Linked DNA regions of Macaca fascicularis. The protein of the gene in region 1 interacts with the protein of each later gene in a pairwise test. Links are inferred from orthologs where the notes say so. Each region holds a gene or a part of one and is shown in the gene's direction. Other genes may lie near its edges.

Region 1 (4,598 bases):
CAAAGAAGCAAACAAAAAAACTGTTCTAGTTGCTCAGACACACAGTCTTAAAATAACAAAAATACTTTTAGAATGAAGCTAGATTCCACAGCATCAATCAGGAATTTCCAGTGTAGGAAATGATGAACTACCATGTTCAAACATACAGGCTTTACAGGTGCATCAGAATCACAAGCACGTGGCAGAGTTCATGTGTCCAATTAAGTGAACATTCTTGCTACATGTTCAGCAGCTTATAAACAGATGGTGACCCACACCAGACTGCCTTGATGACTCTGCTTGGAAAAAAGGCATTACGTCACTGACTGGAGAATCTCAAAGCATATGTCCGGGCAGGTGACACACACATAGCTCAGGCTGTGATTGCTAAACCACTTCCACAGCCAAACGAGGAAAACCATCTCATGACCAGCTCTCAGGGGAATTCTCCGAATCTGACAGTCACCTCTAACTCCTCTGCCAGCTAAGATTAAGGGGTCTGTGATCAGTGATGTTACACTCCTCAAATGTGCATTTTTTTTTTTTTTTTGAGGCAGAGTCTTGCTCTGTTGCCCAGGCTGGAGTGCAGTGGTGTGATCTTGGCTCACTGCAACCTCCACCTCTGTGGTTCAAATGATTCTCCTGCCTCAGCCTCCCGAGGAGCTGGGACTACAGGCGCCCGCCACCATGCCTGGCTAATTTTTGGGGTTTCACTACGTTGGCCAGGTTGGTCTCCAATTCCTGACCTCAGGTGATCCACCCGCGTCGGCCTCCCAAAGTGTTGGGATTACAGGCGTGAGCTACCGCGCCCCGCCTCAAATGTGCATTTGTGATACCTTTTCGTAAATGTTTATTCAAATATTTATTCACGAATAAAGCAAGAAAATGGGATTTGTTTAAATTCAATTTCTAGGTCCAAGGCAACCTATTACAGCTGTCCCTAATACTGTACCTCCGGGTTGTCCTCAGTGCCACCTCCTACAGTGTCCTCAAACACCACCCCTACCATACTGAGCCCCCAATCTGTCACCCCTCCGAGCAATACTCCCCAACTTTCAACGCCCTAAACAGCTCCTTTGTTATCGCCAAGCACTAGAAACCCCTCATGTCATTCTTACCCCTAAAGACCGTTCTTGTCACCAATTCCCCATTCAGACTTTCCCTATGAACCGCTCTAAGCGCTCTCAACTATCAGCCACACCCCCAAACAGCCCTCAGTAAGAGCCCTACACTATCAGCCAGACGTTTCCCGCCACCAACGCTCCCGAGACCCCACTCCTGTCACCAGTTCCCCGAACATTCCTTCCTGGGGTCGCAGATACTGCTCACAGACGTCCCCGTAACCAACTTCATCACCTCCGTAGCCCAGGATCCTCCGAGGGGGCCATCCGCTGCCCCGCCCCTTTACTTGCGGCCCGGCCCCTTGGCGCGGCGTCCTGGCAAATAGCGCCGGAAGCCCCGCCCCCGACCGGTTGCTAGGCTCCGACAGCCGGAAGTCCCGCCTGCCGTGTAGTCGCCGCCGTCGCTACCGCTGCTGCCGTCGTTGTTGTTGTGGTCGGTGCGCTGAGCTCCGCGGCTCCGAGAGCCGGTTCCGTCCCTTTCCCGCCGCCGCCATGAAGTGGATGTTCAAGGAGGACCACTCGCTGGGTAAGCACTTGGCCGTCGGCCGGGCTGCTGGTGGCCGGGGCGGCGGGTGGGCCCCCTCCCCCACTGTGGCGGCCCTGGTTCGGGTGGAGTGGGGCGGATGCCCTGCTCCGGTCTCGAGTCGCCCAGGCCCTGGTGCCTGGGGCAGCCGCCTCCTGACCCCGTGTCACCCTCCGCGGGCCCTGCTGGGAGCAGTAGGGGACAGGACCGCGGCCGCAGGGACGCCGGAACCAGGGCCTGGGCTGTGCGCAGGGCGCAGGAGGAGGAGGGCCGGGGGCCGGAAACCGACCGGGGGGCAGGCGCAGCCGTCAGCCCTGTTTGTTTCTCCCACAGAACACAGATGCGTGGAGTCCGCGAAGATTCGAGCGAAATATCCCGACAGGGTTCCGGTGAGTGTTTGGACTCTCCGCCCCCTCACCTCGCTGTCACCTCTGTCGTCTGGGACCCGTAATAGGCCCCAGGCCATTCAACAGTTGACAAGTTGAGATTCCAGTCCCAGTTAATAGTAACTGACAGGCCAGACCGGGATGAGGCGTTCCAGGGCCGGGGCGTGAGGGGCTCGGGCTGGTGCTGTTCAGGGTGCCTCAGTGCTGAATCTCCCGATCTAGGCCAGCGAGCCGTCTGCAGCCTCGGGGCTCCCTGGCCAATTATGTAAGGAACGATGTTCTAGGACAGGGCAACAGGTCACTGCCACTTTTGGGAATGGTGGTGGAGCGAGACTGTCACTTTGGTCTTGGAAGTGGTACTTGAGTCTCAGGACGTTCATCTTTTACTTTGAGCCTCCATCTTTACCTAACTTCTAGCTCCGTTACCTCACCTTGACCCTGTCATCCTTGCCTGACCAAAATAATGTGAAAAGCGCTGAAAACCCTTCTGCCATGTTTTCTTCTTAGTCAATAATAAATATGATGTTATATTTCTTTCATGGTTGGGGAGACAGTTTTGTAATCCTTATTAATTTTTAATGGACATTAAGGCCTGTTATTGTAGCTCTTTGCTTGTGAATAATTCGTCTCAGGAAAGGAGTAGGAGGGACGGATTTGAAACTTGTTCAGAGAGGAGCAACAGGCCAAATGAAGAGCTTGGTTCTTGACTGGCTGAAATTCCAGGCATTCCCATTAGTCCATCCGTTCTTGTCTCCTGTGTTCCTTGGGAACACAGTAGTGTTTCTTGTAGTGTGAAGGTGGATCCATTCTGGGGTCCTAGAGTAACGGACCATGGATGAAATCCTCCCCAGATACTCTTAGGTCTGCCCAGATAAAATGTGGAAAAGCTTAGTAGTAAGGGCTGCATTTCTCTTACATAATTGACCACAGAAAAGCACTTACCGTTTCCCTATAACACATTTATATCAATTCTTAACCTCCAGAGCATGTGGTTTATTAAGCCAAAGACATATTTTCTCCTGCTATGCAGTTTCCCACCCACCTCCTTGCCCACACTCTGTTCGTCAGCTCCTCAGCCATGTGAGGCCAGAGCCTCCCTTTAGGAAACGCAGTCCTGACCTCTCTTTACTTTCCCAGGTGATTGTGGAAAAGGTCTCAGGCTCTCAGATTGTTGACATTGACAAACGGAAGTACTTGGTTCCATCTGATATCACTGTGGCTCAGTTCATGTGGATCATCAGGAAAAGGATCCAGCTTCCTTCTGAAAAGGCGATCTTCCTGTTTGTGGATAAGACAGTCCCACAGTCCAGGTGAGAGGTGTTTACTAGATGGGCCCTCTGGTATTAGACATCTGGTTGGCTGCTTACGAAACTCCAAACCTTTGGAAGTCTGAAAACTCTTAGGGGTCCTGACTAGAAATCTGTATTTTGTGCTCCCTGACATCAGGGGCTCCAGGAAAATAATGGCTGCAATACATAAGAGTGCATTTTGGATTCAGAAAATAGAACAAGGCCTGGACTTTAAAAAAAATGATGAAACTCAGCCTAACATCTCCAAGAATCTTTTAAAACAGTTGAGAACTTATTTAGGCTTAAGCTATAGGTAGAACTGAGGCCTGAAATGAGGTTTTCTTTCCCGAAGGCAGTCCTGGCACGCTCCTCCACTGGGAGCCTGTGGGCCCTGCTGAGGCTCACTCAGTTAATCATCCAGTTTGCTTGCTTCCAAACTTGGTCAACTCTTTGACATTGTAAGTGTCTATAGCTGCCTGATCCTCAAGTCTGACAAAATGACTGCTGCACAGTAAAGGGCTCTGAAGTCTTTTTATAGACTCATACCTCCCTTGGTAGCACCTGCTTTGACTGTCAGACTATTGTGCTGCCTGGAAGCAGTCTTTGGGACTGTAACTTGTGGCCTGAATGTAGGCAGAGGCATTAGAATTCCCCTTTTCTGTGTATTTGATAGCCCAGCTTTAGTCCCCTGTGGAAAGAGGAAAATGGAGGGGCTCCGTCTGACATCCTAGTCAGTCCTTTCCCATTACTGAGTGGGTAGTTTTAGGCCCTGATCCAGATTCTGGCCCCCACCTCTCCCCTGAGTGTGAGTTCCTGGCCACATCTTATCTTAGTGACCCAATGTAGGTTTCATATACCACCCCCAGAAGTAATACTTCTAAAAGTGAAGGCTTTCAGAAGCCCTGGAAACTAGCCCAATGTTGCCCACATAGGTTCCTGTTGAAAATCCTTGAAGTCTCCAGAAGAGGCCTCTGCCAAATTCCAGTTACTTACTTCTGTTAAAGGTGGAAAGCTCTGGCTATTTTTTGGTCTGATTTCCTCTTTCCCAGTGTCCTCCACCTCCACTTCCTGGTGTCTGATAGAAAGGCAGGGGAGAAATGGAAGCTCCCTCCCTAAGGCCAGCGTTCAACCTGAGGAGACAGCCCAGGGCCTGCCCACTGGACACCACTGGTCTGCCACAGCTGTAGCTCTGGAAGCTGTGGTGTTGCTTGAGGTGATCTTGTCACCCATAGGGCTCTTCCAACCTTCCTTCCCAGGCCTCTGGGCTGTGTCTTCACCTGGGGAGGAAGCCTTGGGCATC
Region 2 (4,652 bases), on another chromosome or scaffold:
CAATGCTTTGTGTACTCGGTAGGCGCTCAGTAAGCCTTTGCATGGACTCTGGGAATATACCCCCTTTGAAGTACAACACACAGTAAAGTACAGACACCTGCAGTGAATGTACAGATCAATGGATTCCGCATGTGTATACACAGAGGTTTACAATGACCACCCAGAGGAGCGTTACAGAACATTCCCCCAGAGGCTCTCTTGACGCAGAGAATTTAATTGCCCTCCCTTCCATCCTGTGCAGGCAGGCTGGTTGCCAGTAAAGGGATATGAGATGCCCTGATTCATCCGCAGATAGAACCCTTAGGATGAGTGGGAAGGACCTGTCATTCTAGAGTAAAAGTAAGGCCAGGAAGATTAAAGAAAACAAAAATTTAAAAATGCAAATGGTGAAAAGCATAAACCATGAACTCTTTTCCTCTTTCCCCACACTCACCCAGAAGCACCGGGGCCAAAGAGATGGCATAGGAGGTCTCAGGATCACCTGCCGCCCCACCACTGCCGTGATGCTTGCTTGTGACGTAGAGGCCGGAGTGGCTCTGAAATCACTGTCTTCAAAGCAGGCCAAACCTTGCTTGACACGTGCACAGGTCCATTCTTTTGCTTTTCAGCTCCCCGCAGGCGCGGACCAACGTGCACTTCTGAGCCAGATCACCTAGCCACAAGGAGGAAGAGAGACAGAGAGAGAGAGAGAAGAGAGAGAGAAAGGAAGCACCTGAGAGAGAGAGAAAGAGATAGAGAGAGAGAGTCTGAGCCACATCACCTAGCCACAAGGAGGGGGAGAAAGGGGGAGAAGTGGAGAGAGAGACACACACACACACACACAGAGAAGAGAAAGGAAGCACCTGAGAAAGAGAGAGAGCGTCTGAGCCAGATCACCTAGCCACAAGGAGGGAGAGAGAGAGAGAAGAGAGAAAGGAAGCACCTGAGAGAGAAAGAGAAAGAAGAGAGAGAAAGGAAGCAGCTTCCCCCAACGCTGCGGCCTGGTGTTTCCTCCCGTGTCAAACGAGAGGGCCCCAGATTGATCCCAAATGCTTTTTCATTTCTCAATCCAACATTTACACCAGCACATTATTCCCAGGGTGCCCAAGACCTCTGCTATGGTTGTGCTGCTGTCCCTGCAAAGGCACTGGGGATGGCCGAGGTGGGGGATGTTTCTGGGGGCTGAAATACGCTGCCAGGGGAAGGGGCGCCCCGATACCACCCTCAGTGGCTGCTGGTTGGGCGACCGGTGGCCCTGGCTTGAGAAAGTGAAAATGTCCAATCTATTTTGCCTGTAGCCTTGGGTCCCTTTTGGATACGGAACCGAGCAGCGGTCCTCCACTTCGCCCTCCCCCGCCGCTGCAAGAGAAAAGAAGGTCGTTTTCCTTGTGTCCCCGGAGAGGCCCTCGAGGAGCCCGGAGCCCCCCGGGGACGCCGCCCAGCCCCGGCGCCCGGCCCCCGGCCCCGCCCCTGCGCGAACTCGCCCGCACCCACTTCCCCGGGCGGCGCCCCCTCTGCGGCCCGTGACGTCACAAGGCCCCCAGCCGCCTGCGCCCCGCGGTGCGCGCCCCGCTCCGGGACCTGCCGCCGCCGCCCCGCCCTCGGCGCCCACACCCAGGCGCGCCCGCGCGCGCGCCCGGCCCCGTCCCCGCCTGGAAGCCCAGCTGAAGATGGCGAGCCCGGCGCCTCCGGAGCACGCCGCGGAGGGATGCCCAGCTCCCGCAGCCGAAGAGCAGGCGCCGCCGTCGCCGCCGCCGCCCCAGGCACCCCCCGGAGAGCGGCAGCAGCAGGAGGAGGAAGCGCAGGAGGCTGGGGCGGCGGAGGGCGAGGGGCTGCAGGTGGAGGAGGCCGCGGGCCGGGCGGCTGCCGCGGTAACCTGGCTACTTGGGGAGCCGGTGCTGTGGCTGGGCTGCCGCGCCGACGAGCTGCTGAGCTGGAAGAGGCCGCTGCGGAGCCTGCTCGGCTTCGTCGCTGCCAACCTGCTGTTCTGGTGAGAGCTTGGGCAAGGTGGGGGCGCTCAGGAGGGCAGGTGACCTTGGGGCGCCCGGGGCCCCGGGGACCCAGTGCAGGGGGAGCCCGCGGGACACTGCGGAGGAAGAATTGTCAGCACTGCCCCACTTTCTCGGCCACCGGTCTCGAACAGGTAGACACTCACCGCAACTTTCCTCCGGACGCACGTCCCTATGAGCAGTTGTCGTCCTCCGTGTGGGGATCCAGCCTCAGATGCGAGGTGGTCGGCCGACCCGCAGGCACCTGCACCTACAGGTGTTCCCATCGTACTTGAAAACTTCGCCCCTGCTTTCTAAAACTCTCAGGTCTTGACCTGCTCGCCCAAGCTTGCGGGAGCAAACATGCTTGAACGTGTCTTCGTTCTTGCGGCCCCAGCAGGCATATCTGGACCAGATTAGGTACACGTTCAAAACGGTGCCACATTCATCAGTCACCTGAGATGGACCCCGAATGATTTGTTTTTCCTTCCCCTGAAGGGTTAGGTTTACTGTCTTTATTCCCTGATGAGAAAACGGGAGGCAAACAAGCAGGTGGAGTATGCCCAGCACCCACCCCCGGGTGTGCCCAGTGTGGAAAACAGGTATATTTTTAGGTGAAGTACAGGGAGAATACACGGGAATGCTCAGCTCTTGAGCAACAGGTTTGTCTCTCCAAAAGGCGCTCTTCACCAGGAAGGCCAGGGAAGTGTCTGTCTCCTTCGTTGAAAGTGGCGTCCTGTCATCCGTTACCACGCTATTGAGGGCGGAGAAAAGCTTTCTTTGTTTTCTAAGTGTTCTTATAACAAACATGACCCACACGGTGCAGAATAATCAGAGCTCCGGTGACAGATACCTTGTTACAGGACAGAGATTTCTGAACCTTAAAGTTGAGAAATAAATTGCACAAAATAGCCTGTCATTTTCTAGGTTAACTTGAGCAAGGTGAATATTTCCTGCAGATCTCTACTTGTCCTGGTGTTTTCTCTTAAAACGAGCTCTGTCTTGTCGGAGGTCCCTGAAAGTGGATTAACTTTGGGTCTCTTAGCTACCTGTGTTTCTAGAGTTTATTCCAAATCTATCTTATTATGGAGTTATGCGAGCACTCAAATAAGAAGGACATATTGTCTTATGCTAGATTGGGCAATAGTCTAATAGTCTTAGGGCTGTGTCTCACTAATGTTTTCAATGTTTTTAACATTTTATTTCTTAATTTTAAATTTTATTTCTTTAAAAATCGAATACAGTCTCATAGTTCAAAAGTTTTAAAGGTACAAAAGGGTAAGCATTTTGAAAATCTCTTTCTCATCCCAGTCCCTGGCCGCCCAATTACCTCACGGAGGCAACCAATGTTACTAGTTTCCTGTGTCTCTTTCCAGATAGTGCACATTTCAGCAAATACACCATATTCTATGCAAATTGTGGAATACCATATGAGCTCTCCCTTTTCCTAGTATTTCTTGGTGATTGCTTCCTTGTTCTTTTTCAGCTGCTTCAGAATTCTATTGTAAGGATGTCTCAAATTACTTAACCTGTCTCCTACTGAGGCAGTAATGTTTCCAAGCTTTTGCTATTTCAGCGTTATAGCTAATGACCCTGTACATGCATAATTTTGCATGTATGCAAGTATTTTAGAGAACTTCCCAGAAGTGGAATTGCTGGGTCAGATGGCATGTGCACTTGTAATTTTGATGGCTATCACCATATTGCATGCAGTTCCTTAGGATTCTAACAATTGATACTCCCACCAGCAATGTGTGTGACTGCCTACTTTGCTACACCCTTGCCAAGAATATTTTATGAAACTTTTTGATCCTATAAATCTGATAGGTGAAAAAGACTATCCCAAAATGTTTTTATTTTGCAATTCTCTGAGCATTTTATCTTATGTTTAATAACCACTACAGTTACCTTTTATCAGCATTTTTGTTTATAAATAACCTGTCTATTTTTTTCAAGTAGGCCATCGTTCTTTTCCTTACTGATTTATAGGAGCTGTTTTTATATTAAAGACTTTAGCCTATTTCTGTAACATGAGTTGCCAACTTTTTTTTTCTATGATGTTTTCTTTAATGACACCTATTGAAAATAATGTTTTTGCATAAAATAATTGAAAGGCATATTTGGTAGTATTCAGGGGTGTTTTCTTCCAACCATTTTATTTATGACTGATGGAGAGGAAAACATTGGCCAGCCATTCCACCTAGATACAGCCTTCTCCTTATCTGTTTTATTTCATCTCCTGTTTGTGGCATCTGCATTCCATGCATGTATTTTCTTTGACAATGATGACTGTCCTGTTCTTTAAATTCAGAATTACTTGTTGCTTTTGCATTATAATTCATTGGAATTTATGACCCATTTATTAATGTCATTAAAGTTTTGTTTTTTTTCCCTTTTATTTGTTGCTCTGGGGGTTAAAATGATTTTCAAGGACATTACTTTTTTTTAAATAATGTATGTCTTCTCAACTGATCTTAAATTATATGGTACTCTAACCTTCCGTGTCTTGGGAACTCTAAAGCACTGTATTTTCTATGAGAAAAAAAAAAAATCAGTTTTAAAACTATGAGGAACCCAACCAAATCTGTCTTAAGCAATGGGATGTTGTTTTCACTTTAATTGATGTTATCTCAGTTTTGTAGAAATAAACTTTTTAAAGAGATATTTTTGAATGGTTTAGCATTC

What was found.
Region 2: the proteins of GABARAPL2 (region 1) and RETREG1 interact in binary tests that used the Homo sapiens proteins (3 or more experiments, as listed by UniProt). The link is inferred for Macaca fascicularis from reciprocal best matches to the Homo sapiens genes GABARAPL2 and RETREG1.

The regions. Positions count from the first base shown.
Region 1 is NC_088394.1:71,415,998-71,420,595, forward strand, and holds the start of GABARAPL2 (gamma-aminobutyric acid receptor-associated protein-like 2), read left to right. Parts: upstream 1-1,483; 5' UTR 1,484-1,592; coding exon 1,593-1,626; intron 1,627-1,956; coding exon 1,957-2,012; intron 2,013-3,146; coding exon 3,147-3,319; intron 3,320-4,598. UniProt on the Homo sapiens protein: Ubiquitin-like modifier involved in intra-Golgi traffic. Modulates intra-Golgi transport through coupling between NSF activity and SNAREs activation. It first stimulates the ATPase activity of NSF which in turn stimulates the association with GOSR1.
Region 2 is NC_088380.1:17,282,249-17,286,900, reverse strand, and holds the start of RETREG1 (reticulophagy regulator 1), read left to right. Parts: upstream 1-1,623; 5' UTR 1,624-1,649; coding exon 1,650-1,969; intron 1,970-4,652. UniProt on the Homo sapiens protein: Endoplasmic reticulum (ER)-anchored autophagy regulator which mediates ER delivery into lysosomes through sequestration into autophagosomes.